Cricetulus griseus: one gene and its partners. The protein of the gene in region 1 interacts with the protein of each later gene in a biochemical or structural test. Links are inferred from orthologs where the notes say so. Each region holds a gene or a part of one and is shown in the gene's direction. Other genes may lie near its edges. The genes, in order: Hspb1, Cs and Mapkapk3.

Region 1 (3,787 bases):
TGTGGCAGATGTTTAGGATTCCAGTCCTTCACAGGAATAAACAGGACTTAAGGTCATCCTTGGCTACGGAGAGAATCCCAGGCTAGCCTGGGCTACATGAGACCCACTCTCAAAAACAAAAACCAAGAGGCTGGGAAGATGCCAAAATGGATAAAGAGCTGACTGTGCAAGCGTGGGGACTGAGTTTGGGTCCACAGTGTATAAACTGAGGACATGACAGCTCCAAGGTATGGTTGAAGGGAAGGTTTGTTTTTATTGTAGTTATGAGGAAGAGAACAGCCAGAAGCATCTGGAAGAGTCCAGAGCAGAGAGAGAAAGTAGTAGACTGAACATGACCAGCAAATTGGGGTGGGGGAGGTGAGAGAGGAAAGCAAAAAGAGTGGGGGCAAAGGAGACTAAGAGAGAGGGGGTCAAGAGAGAAAGAGAAAACAGGGAGAGGACCAGGAGAAGGCACAGGTGGAATAGGAGGGTTATAGGGCAATGGGAAGCTGGGGCGAGAAGCCCACTAACTGGAGAACTTTAGGGTAGAGGGTGAGATGAGAAGAGCCAGCATTCCCTAACAGGTACTTGTGATGTTGCATGAGCCTGGAGGCCAGCAAGCCGCTTTGGGATGCTAATAGGCACGACAGATAGCTCTTTGTTCCGAGTTTCTTTTGTACCGGACACACAGCACTTATATAAAAGCTGAATCTGGCTAGTCATAGCGGGGCACGCCTTTAATCCCAGCAGAGGCAGGCAGATCTCTGAATTTGAGACCAGCCTAGTCTACAGAGTGAGTTCCAGGACAGTCAGGACTACACAAAGAAACCCTGTGTTTGGGGGAGGGGGCTGAGTGTGGCCACCTGTGCGGCTAATTCCTGTGCTGAGCTGGAAGGGTGGGGCAATTACAGAGACAGGAGGGCAGTATGGGGCTCCAGTATGCCCAGCCAGTTTGCAAGCTCCAGAGTCAATAAAAGACCCTGTGAAGGAAGGAAAGAAGGAAAGAAGGAAGGAAGGAAGGAAGGAAGGAAGGAAGGAAGGAAGGAGAAAGAAAGAAAGAAAGAAAGAAAGAAAGAAAGAAAGAAAGAAAGAAAGAAAGAAAGAAAGAAAGAAAAATCTATCAGGGCCAGATAGTTCAGTGGACGAAGGCACCTGCCACCAAGCCTTTGCTCCCCAGGATACACATGGTAGGAGAGAGCTGACTGTTGCTGGTAGCCCTGAGACCTCCACAGGTGTGCATGGCATGTGTGTGTCTACACAGGCGTCCCTCTGGTTCAGACCAGACTCAGTTGTTTCCCAGTTGGACACAAAGGACCTAACTTCCAACCGTAGTCTCAAAAGAAGGATGGGACAGGGCCGCAGGCCACCGCCCTTCAGCCCAGGCAGTGAATGCCCGACAGTGGGAACAGCTCCAGCTACCGGTATTACAGTCATTTGTTTTCTTCAACTAGAGAAGTTTCCAGATGGGGGCAGAACCTTCCTGGCCCCGCCTGCCTGTCCCCTTTGTAAGCTTAGGGGGAGGAATGCAGCGGGGAGGGCCGGCCCCTAGACGGTCATTGCCATTAATAGAGACCTGAAGCACCGCCTGCTAAAAATACCCGGCTGGACACCCATAAAAGCACGGCCGGGGCTCCAGTTCGGCACTTCTCGGATCATCTGCCCTGACCCGCACAGCCAAGAACATGACCGAGCGCCGCGTGCCCTTCTCGCTGCTGCGGAGCCCCAGCTGGGAACCATTCCGGGACTGGTACCCGGCCCACAGCCGCCTCTTCGACCAAGCCTTCGGGGTGCCCCGCTTGCCGGATGAGTGGTCGCAGTGGTTCAGCGCCGCTGGTTGGCCCGGCTACGTGCGCCCACTGCCCGCCGCGACCGCCGAGGGACCCGCGGCGGTGGCCCTGGCCGCGCCCCTGGCCGCGCCCGCCTTCCACCGTGCGCTCAACCGGCAGCTGAGCAGCGGAGTCTCGGAGATCCGGCAGACGGCCGATCGCTGGCGCGTGTCCCTGGACGTCAACCACTTCGCTCCGGAGGAGCTCACGGTCAAGACCAAGGAAGGCGTGGTGGAGATCACCGGTGAGTCCCCCTTGTCCCCACAGGGAGAAGCCAGCGGGCTGAGCGCCCCGGTGGCTGTACCGGGTGGGCGGGGGGAGGGTGTGAAGCCAAGAGGGATGGGAGCCTGGAAAGCTAGAAAGGAGCTCCGAGACCGGGAGGCCAGTGTCGTTCTCCCTGGCCAGCTTCCCTTGCTGCGGAACCCGGGCGCAGGCTGCGCCTAAGAGCCTGTCATCCTCGCTGATAAGGACCAACAGCTGGGGGTATAGCTCAGGGCAGAGCCTGGCCTGGCCTACGGGAAGCCCCGGGTTCTACGCACAGCAACGCACCCTCTGGAAGACCCCATTCCCAAATAAGGAAGTGCCAGGACTCCTGCCAGTGTCCCCGGTCCCAGCCACGGAGGGGGCCGGCACACAGCTCTGAGTGCGCCTGCGCTGGTGTCCAGCCTGGATCAGAGCCAAGCCCAGTATCCCAAATCCCAGAAACGAACTTTCTGGAAAGTTTTAAGATGACTCCAGGGAGTCAGGCATCTCACCGCACTCTCGTGTGTGTGCTGCCTTGGAGTCCCAGCCACTCCTTAGCAGGTGGTGGGGTCTGCTACCACACAGCAGAGGCTTGTCTCTGACCTCCTTCTGTCCCACCCGCAGGCAAGCACGAAGAAAGGCAGGACGAACATGGCTACATCTCCCGGTGCTTTACCCGGAAATACACGTGAGTTCTGGTTCCTTGCGTGGCTGGGTGGAGGAAAGCGGACCCAGGGAGGAGAACAGAGGGGCCGGGATCTGGAGGGATGTGTAACCCTTGTCCTGTTTTTCTTCTTGTCCAGGCTGCCTCCCGGTGTGGACCCCACCCTGGTGTCCTCTTCCCTGTCCCCTGAGGGCACACTTACCGTGGAGGCTCCGCTGCCCAAAACAGCCACACAATCCGCGGAGATCACCATTCCGGTCACTTTCGAGGCCCGCGCCCAAATTGGGGGCCAGGAAGCTGGGAAGTCGGAACAGTCTGGAGCCAAGTAGAAGCCATCAGCCTGCTGCATCCCCAACAGCCATCACTCGCCACCCCTCTCTATCAGTCTTTATGCTCTTTTGATACATGTACTTTCTGTTTTTCTCAAATAAAAGTTGGAAGCTACTGCTTGCCACCGTCTCAGACCCCGGTGTTTCTGGCGGGCTAGGGATGAGTGCTCCTTTGGTGTCTTTGCGATGGGCTCAGCCCCTTCTTGGGTTCAGCCTAACATTTCCCTAGGAAGAAGGAAAAAAATGATAATCTGGAGATTAAAATTTTACCAGGGTGGGGCTGGGCATGATGGTGCATGCCTGTAATTCCAGCACCCAGAAGCTGATGCAGGAGCATGGTGAATTTGAAGCCAGCCTGGACTACAGAGTGAGTTCCAGGAGTGCCCGGGCCACATACTTGTTGTCTCCAAAACAAAACAAAAAACAGGAGCTGGGGATGTAGTTCACAAGAGTGATTGTATGGCATGAGGCACTGTTTGACACCGCCCCCCACCCCCGCCCCAGCTTGCACACACACATCCAAAAGCATGGTAACGCATACCTGTAAGTCCAGCATTACAGAGGATCAGAAGTTTAAGGTTATCCTTGGCTATATAGCCAGTTTGAGGTCAGCATGGGACACATGAAAACTATGTCTCAAAAGGAAATTAATGGGGAATTGGAGAGATGGCTCAGAGGTTAAGAGCAGTAGCTGCTCTTCCACAGGCCCTGGGTTCAATTCCCAGTACCCACTTAGCAGCTCACAA
Region 2 (4,080 bases), on another chromosome or scaffold:
CAGTGAATCTTTGAAGTTCCTAGGGAGATAGCTGGGGTCATTACTTCTCCAAGGATGTGGTTTCTCTAGATAAGATTTTCTCCGAAGAACTACCTGATTCCTGGGCCAGAACACTGCTGGGCAGATATGAACCGCTTTTGAGAGAACTTGGGGGGAGTGAGGGTTTTCTTTCTCTTTTTCCAAGTCTAAGCCACAAACTATATCCTCTACAAAAAAGGACTATTAGCTTACATGGATACTGAGACCTCTGCACTTTGTTACTGCCGCGTGGGAAGATTGATAAGGTGGCCTGATCCTTGGGTCATTTTCTCTCCACCCTTACGCCAATTGCAATGATAGGCTTAGGTGCTCTACGCAGTGATGTGTAAGATCATCTTAAATTCTTGTGTCATTTAGCGCCATGGTTTCTGGTGGAGCAGAGGATGAGAGAGATAGCCAAGTAGGAGAAGTGTCCTGGAGTCCTTTGGAAATACTGTGAACGACGTCACAAAAACCAGGGAGTGTCTAATGCCTGGAGGGTATATCTGCACCCTCTTGCTAAATGTGAGGTGGGCTGGCTCTATGGGGTTATATCAAGAATGACAGTGTATGCCCAGGACCCAAAGACTGAGAGATTCAGGGGCCTTCACGTTAAGAGGGCCTTTGTAAGACTTAACATTCCCTACAGTTTACAGACAGCACTAGATACTCAGGCGCCTGTTTTGGCTCTTCTCCACATAGTGGGGTCAGTATCTATACTAGCAGGGTTTCTGATGATCTTCGTCAAACAGCCAACTTTGGCATCATATGCTGCTTTCCACATGATGTCAACTGCACGGCAGTGAAGTCATTAACCAAAGACATCCTTTAAGGAAGCACGCCAAGCCGGTTGCGGGGGGTGGGGGTGGGGGGGGCTCCACGATCAGTGGTGCTGAGGTACTGTGACCTTCAAGAGTCGCGTGCTGGAACTGTATCTTTCCTGCTCTCCGGAGAAGCAGAAAGCGTTAAGGGCAAAGGCAAGAGCCAAAGAAGGAAGTTAACTGAGTTCTCAGGCACATCCTAAGGCACCTACGGTCCCCTCTCCGCCCACTTCAAATTAGCCTAATCCGCAGGGTCCAATCCTCCCCCGCCCTAACATCTGTCAAGGGCACAAGTCCCGCCCCTCTTCAGCCCTGGGCCAATGGCCGCGCCCGAGGCTTGTCCCAGGAGAGGGGCGGGCTCGGGTTTCGGCCAGGGGGCGGGGCCTCGCTGAGGACCCTGGGCTGGGCGCCTCTGCCGGTTTGTCTCCCCTCCCTCCTCCGCCTCCTTTCAACCTTGTCCGCCGGTTGGCGCGGTCTCCGTTACAGCGGCGGCCGCTGCGGTTCCAGCTGTAGGTTCTCGCTCCCCGCGCTCCCTTCCCGCCAGGTTCCGGAGTTGGTCCCGCCATGGCTCTTCTCACTGCTGCAGCCCGGCTCTTGGGAGCCAAGGTGAGCGACCAAAGCAGGGGAGCGGCGTCGTCGCGGGGTGGGGCCGAGGCGACCGCAGGCCCTCCGGCACCGAGCCGCCCGCCCGCCCGCCCCGACGCGCAGCCCTCCGCGCCTTAAAGGGGCCCGGCGCCTGGCCGGCCGCCAGCCAGCCCTTCCTGCATCTCCTAGGCCATGTGCCGCGCTGCCCTTCCTTCCGGCGCTAAGGTGAACGCTGCCGGCGCCGGCCGGCCAGCCTGCGTGCGGTCCTTGGCGGCCCGGGGCCCCCGGAGCTCCGGCCTGACTGTCACAGCATCTTTCCGTGGTGCAAGTGAGGGAGGGATGCATGGCCCGGGCAGAAGGGCCGGAGGAGAGGAGAGGTGTGGCGTGCCGTGTCGCCGTAGTTAGGGGAAGAATTGTTTGCAGGGGCACCGGGGGCGGTGAGCAGATGTGCTGCTCACTTTGTCACTGGGCCAGAGCTGGAGCCCGGGCTGGTTTGGGCTCTGCATTGTAGGGTGAGTCCTGTCAGGACCTGTTTCTCGTAATTGTAGCCTCTTGAGTGACCCGGCCGGGTCAGTTTGGGGAGAGGAGTAGACCCCCCCTCACCCCCCAGCTCCTCTTTGTCCTTGGGACGCTTTCACTTAACTGTATATAGGAGGAGCTTGGATAGGGTGGGGCATTTCTGTTAAACCTGCTGATAGAATATCGCCTATGACTCCAGCGAGAACCAGAAAGGTTGTTCCACCAAGCTGCAGGCCAATAAATGAAGACAGGCAAGAGGAGTAACACCATCCGGGGTCACATGACTGAATCTACTAAACTTATGCGGGTTTTAGCTGTTTTCTTAAGTCTCCTCTAAGAGGAGTACTTCCTCTTATTCCCTAAGGCCCTTTAACTTGGATTATTATTATTATTATTATTATTATTATTATTATTATTATTATTATTATTATTTTTGCCTTTCTCACTACTTTGGGTTCTGCATAGCTCGGCCCTTTAAACAGGGATCCAGTTGTGCTGAGGGAATCTCAGCCTTCTAATCCAAGTGGGGACAATGCCACATACGACCTTGGCTGCTGTAAAAAACTGAGGATTTTTTTTTCTTCAGCAGATAGCTGGTCATGCTTGGAGGGAGGAAAAGACTGAGAATGGTTTTGACTGGCTGTATGTGATGCATAGTTGTCAGACTTACCACAAAACCCATAGGGTTTATCTTGGGGTTCGTTTGAGCACCCAGAAACAAGGTAGATATTGCTTATTTGGTAGACACTTGTCTGTCTTGGCTGTTGCTGCTCCTGCTGCCAGGGAACTGGGTAAGGACTCCTCTTGGGAAATGAAGCAAGTTCCAAACAGTGTATTGGCAGAATAGTGAACCTATAATTAGAACATTTCGGAGCTGCTAACCCAGACCAGATAGTCTAACACAACTGAACTTGAAAGGCCTTTGGATTTACCTTTTGAGTTTGTCTTGCCTGTGAAAGCCCTAGGAAATCTCTAGAGTGTTTTGGGGAATGACTGGGCTGCCATTCTGGAAACCTTAGAAGTCTCTTGGACTCAATTGGTCAAGTACTTGCTTGGCATGCCTGGATCTCTGTTTGCCTCTCATTGAGTGTGATGGTAACATACCTGCCACCCCAGCACTTGGAGACAGTAGCTGTATAGTGAGTTTGAGACCATCCTAAGCTACGTGATACCCTGTCTCCAAGAAAAGGGGTAAGGTTTACTCTTTTTGGTTTTTCGAGACAGGGGTTTCTCTGTGTAGCTTTGGAGGCTGTCCTGGCACTCGCACTGGAGACCAGGCCTTGAACTCACAGAGGTCTGCCTGCCTCTGCCTCCCAAGTGCTGGGATTAAAGGCATGCACCACCAATGCCCGGCTAAGGTTTACTCTTAATATTATCAAGGCCCTGAAGCAGAGCATGGTGGCTCTCTACTGTAAACAAACACAGGAGGATCATTAAGAATTCAAGGTCATCCTGGGCTGCATAGAGAGTGAGTTCCATTAAGCTTGAACTCCAAGGTTAAGTGCTTGCTGTGCAAGCCTAAGGACCTGAGTTCAAACTTTTCTTTGGGGCTGCCAACTCACCAAAAAAGAAAGAAAGAAAGAAAGAAAGAAAGAAAGAAAGAAAGAAAGAAAGAAAGAAAGAAAGAAAGAAAGCTGACACGAAGGCTTATTATTAATTATAAAAGCTCGGCCTATAGTTTAGGCTTGTCCCACTAGCTCTTATAACTTCACCCATATCTTTTAATCTGCATTCTTTGTGTGGCTCAGTTACCTTTACTCTGTATTGCCCATCTTGCTAACTCTCCATTTCGATGGCAACACCTCCTTCTTCCCAGAGCGCTCTCTGTCCAAAAGTCCCTGCTATATCTAGCTACTGGGCCGTTTAGCTTTTTATTAAATAAATCACAGTGACACCTTCACACAGTGTAAAAGAACATTCCACGACATAATCTCCACCCAAAAGCCATGTTCCATTACATGTGTCTATAACCCTCATAGGGCTGGTTTGTGGGGAAGAGTGGAGACAGAAGGGAACTAGGGGTCTAGGTTGCCAGTCAATCTAGCAGAAATGGATTTGAATGAGAGACTATTAAAAATATTAATAAGGTGAAGGCCAGTAGAGGAAGACACAAAGTTACTCTTTGACACACAACATG
Region 3 (3,644 bases), about 100 Mb from region 1:
GGGAGCATGGGAGTTTCCTGGCAAGGATCTGGGCTTTCCACCTTTTCTTAGTTCCCAAAGTTCAGATCAACCCACCCAAGCTGACAGCCCACCATTTGCCAGGTTCTCCATGGTCCATGGGCCCCTGATCCAGGGCAGACCGAGTTGGTGACACCCAGTTCTCCCCCTTTCTGCCTTCTCTCTCTGCAGCATGGAAGGTGGTGAGCTGTTCAGCAGGATCCAGGAACGTGGTGACCAGGCTTTCACTGAGAGAGGTTTGTGTGGCCCTGGGACCAGTGAGGAGTTAGTGTTAGTGCGGGAAGGCTACACTAGAGTTGCTATGAGATACTGGGCAAGGCCTGCCCCTCGCTGAACCTCAAGATTCACATAAGAACTAAAGAGAATGTCCCACCCCCCTCTAGGGGTTTGTTCTTTGAATCTGTAACACTATAGATGGACTATCTATGGCTTGAGGTGGAGAACTCCGAGGCTTTTGGTGCTGACCCATGGCAGAACTATTATGAGGCAGTGTAGGCCTGAGGAAAGAGGCCTGGGTGGGCTCAGAACATTCTTGGAGTAAATTGGACTTGTTTGGGTGGATAGCTAGAACGAAAGACCTACCTAGGTTACAGGACTGCCATCTAGTGCTGGCCTGCCAGACCATGCTCAAGAGATTGTGGGCTGGGTGCCCCTCAGGTCACATGACTTTTTAAACAGGCCTTGTGTTCTCCTTCCTCTCTGTGCCTGTAGAGGCTGCAGAGATCATGAGGGACATTGGCACGGCCATCCAGTTCTTGCACAGCCAGAACATCGCCCACCGAGACGTCAAGGTGAGCTGCCAGAACTCAGCCTGGGAGACAGTGAAGGAGTCACTCACCCTGATGCTTCCAGCGCTTACTGAATTGAGGCTAAGTGCCTTGCCTCAGCTTCCCCACTCAGACTGCTCTCCTCTCCTCCCATGGCACAGCTCACTCAGTCTGCTCTTGCCAGATGGACCTCCTTGTTTTCGTCAAACACTGGGTAATCCCAATAGTAACGAGAATAACTGCCTACTTCCAGCCAGTGGGCCCCGACAAGCATGTCTTTTAATCCCCATCTGCGGCATGGGGCCATTACCCATTTCACAGACAAGCAAACTGAGGTTCTTTGAGAAATTAACCATCTTACCTTAAGCTGTGAAGTTGCTGTGTGGGGATTCATTGGTTCATTTGTTCACTTGCTCAGCAAGAAGTTTTATGACCATCAATGTGCCAGACCTTTGAGAGGGGCTGCCTTTTCGTGTCCGGGTCTTCTGTCAAGTCACAAAAAGAGTTTAAACAAATTAGGCTGCTAAACAACAGCATAGAAGCCATTTGCTGGCTATCGGAGGAAGGAATCCTGCTTGCCGTCCCAGTGAATGGGCTTGAAACATAGGAAGCACAGTGCTTCATATTTTCTTTTCTGGGAAAACCAAGGTCTCCCAGGAAATCTTACATATACATAGCTATATGCGTTTGTGTGTGAACCACTGTTAACACAGAATCTGTTCCTCCTCACCTTTGCTTGGTTTATTTCCTCCTAAGCCTGGACCTATGAGGCAAAAGGCTAGCTGATGTGCCTCTCCGATTGAGGACTGCCAGCCTATACAGTTACCCTTTGATTCAGGATACACACACAGCCAAAGCAGATCCACCTTCTAAATCTTTGCTTTATTTTAGCCCTCAAGTTCCCCTTTTCCTAAGGGAAGAAAAGCCTGCAGAGCAGGATATGCTAAACCGCTTCTCTGTTTGTTCCAATCCAAGGTCAGATCTTCTCAAACAGAACCTAAGAAATAGCTCCCACTGGATCCAAACTGGAGCACTGTTCTTCCCTCCTGAGTTTTGCTTGGGAATCATCCCTCCTGCTCCTTGGCATAGGGCCAAGATCCTACCTGTTCACTAACAGCCAGCTTCAGGGCTGCCTCCTCCATGGAGCCCTGCTGGCTGTTCCCATCTGCCAGGCCCATCTGTGCTTTGCAGCTAGGGAGATTTCTTCTGTGTAGCTCCTGAGGTCTGCGTTGGGGTGGTGGTGGTGGGGGCACCTGCTCCCCTGAGCTACCTCAAATGGGCCTAGCCTGCTGACTTTGTGGGCTTCCTTCTGGGTTGTGTGTGGGACATGTGCTTGGCAATCATGGCTCATGAGCTGTCTGCTTTCTAGTCTACTCCAGCGACTTTTCTGGCATTTCATGGTATTCACACCAACTCAGGAGCAGAAGTTTCTGCCTAGAGGGGTCTATGGCACCTGGTCATTCATGGTCTTGGCTGAACACCTGCCTCACCTTTCTCTCTGTGAATGAAGGCATCACCTCCAATCCACGTTGTTGGTGACCAAGGTCCAGATCTTCTTATAAAACAGTACTGGCTCATCATGTATTGGGATGGAGGCAGGGATTCAAGGTTACTTTGGGGCTCTGTCCCCTCCTGGTACCTTTGTCTATATCAATGCTTTCTTTCTCTTCTGGATGCAGCCTGAAAACCTACTCTACACATCCAAGGAGAAAGATGCTGTGCTTAAGCTCACCGATTTTGGCTTTGCCAAGGAAACCACCCAAAATGCCCTGCAGACACCCTGTTACACTCCCTATTATGTGGGTGAGTACTAATCAGGTGACTTGTATCCCCCTTGCTGTATACTGCGGTAGAATGGGTGGGGGCAGCCAATGGGTTGTGGGAACCAAAGAGTTAAAGCCTGATGAGGAGGGAGGAGGGAGCACTCTTGTCTGCATGGAGGCGGGTGACGTGGGGGGCCGGAGGCTGCAAAAATATTCTTCCAAACTTCAGCTTCTGCTTTTGAAAATAGATCCAGGAAAATTCTGGCTGTGGCCTGTGAGCTGAATGACATCACAGCAGCTCTAAATATATACGTGATAAAAGGCTGCCATCAGCTCGGGATGGAGCCCAACCGCGGTTGTTTTTCTCTGGTTTTCATCTTCATATTCAGAAAGTGGGCAGGCCTTTTCTCCTGCATTAGTGGGATACAGGGTACTAGTCACCTGCCTTGTGAGAAAGGGTCCCTTGAGCCCAGAATTAGGTGGGGCTTGGGGGTGTCCACACATGATTTCTGGGAAAATTCCAGGCAGCCTCTAAGATTGCCAAAGGTCCCTGTAACAATTGCCCCTTCCTGTGAGTAGGGCAATAACTGAAGCTTTTTCCCTTTAGAGAAGGCAGCTAAGGAGTAGGAAATGCCAGAAATGGCTCCCTGTTTACCGGGTTGTATTCTGCAGTTCTTTAATGTTAAGTCTGGCCTGCTGACCTCATTGCACTGATTGAAAGACCGAGGCCGATGGGTGGGTAGCCAAGATGATAGTAGAACACAGAAGTCTGATCTAGGCTGTGCATTCAAGGAGATGAGAGATACAACAGTGCAGCTGGCAGACTGAGACCCTCTTGTCAGTAGCAGGGCCTCACCAAACTTGGGGCTGGCCTTCTTCCCTCCTCTCTCTTATCAAGTTGAGACTGGCAGGGGGGCCCTAAGTTGCTAGGGGGCTGTCTGAAGGCAGTTTATTTTTTTCTGGGAGCTGTCTCTCCTCCCCCTACTTCACACACATGCTGCCTTCCCAGAAGGTGCCAGACGCCAGTCTGCTCTGCCCTACCTCCCAGCCTGGGTACCTGTTCCTCACCTTACCCAGGCTTAAGACTCCTTCCTAG

The links.
Region 2: the proteins of Hspb1 (region 1) and Cs form a complex in vitro, tested with the Homo sapiens proteins (2 studies listed by BioGRID). The link is inferred for Cricetulus griseus from reciprocal best matches to the Homo sapiens genes HSPB1 and CS.
Region 3: of the proteins of Hspb1 (region 1) and Mapkapk3, one has a biochemical effect on the other in vitro, tested with the Homo sapiens proteins (2 studies listed by BioGRID and IntAct). The link is inferred for Cricetulus griseus from reciprocal best matches to the Homo sapiens genes HSPB1 and MAPKAPK3.

Annotation. Positions count from the first base shown.
Region 1 is NC_048597.1:114,890,349-114,894,135, forward strand, and holds Hspb1 (heat shock protein beta-1), read left to right. Parts: upstream 1-1,509; 5' UTR 1,510-1,661; coding exon 1,662-2,049; intron 2,050-2,672; coding exon 2,673-2,736; intron 2,737-2,851; coding exon 2,852-3,041; 3' UTR 3,042-3,164; downstream 3,165-3,787. UniProt on the Homo sapiens protein: Small heat shock protein which functions as a molecular chaperone probably maintaining denatured proteins in a folding-competent state. Plays a role in stress resistance and actin organization.
Region 2 is NW_023276806.1:129,548,502-129,552,581, reverse strand, and holds the start of Cs (citrate synthase, mitochondrial), read left to right. Parts: upstream 1-1,237; 5' UTR 1,238-1,403; coding exon 1,404-1,445; intron 1,446-4,080. UniProt on the Homo sapiens protein: Key enzyme of the Krebs tricarboxylic acid cycle which catalyzes the synthesis of citrate from acetyl coenzyme A and oxaloacetate.
Region 3 is NC_048597.1:215,440,785-215,444,428, reverse strand, and holds part of Mapkapk3 (MAP kinase-activated protein kinase 3), read left to right. Parts: intron 1-189; coding exon 190-254; intron 255-729; coding exon 730-809; intron 810-2,464; coding exon 2,465-2,588; intron 2,589-3,644. UniProt on the Homo sapiens protein: Stress-activated serine/threonine-protein kinase involved in cytokines production, endocytosis, cell migration, chromatin remodeling and transcriptional regulation.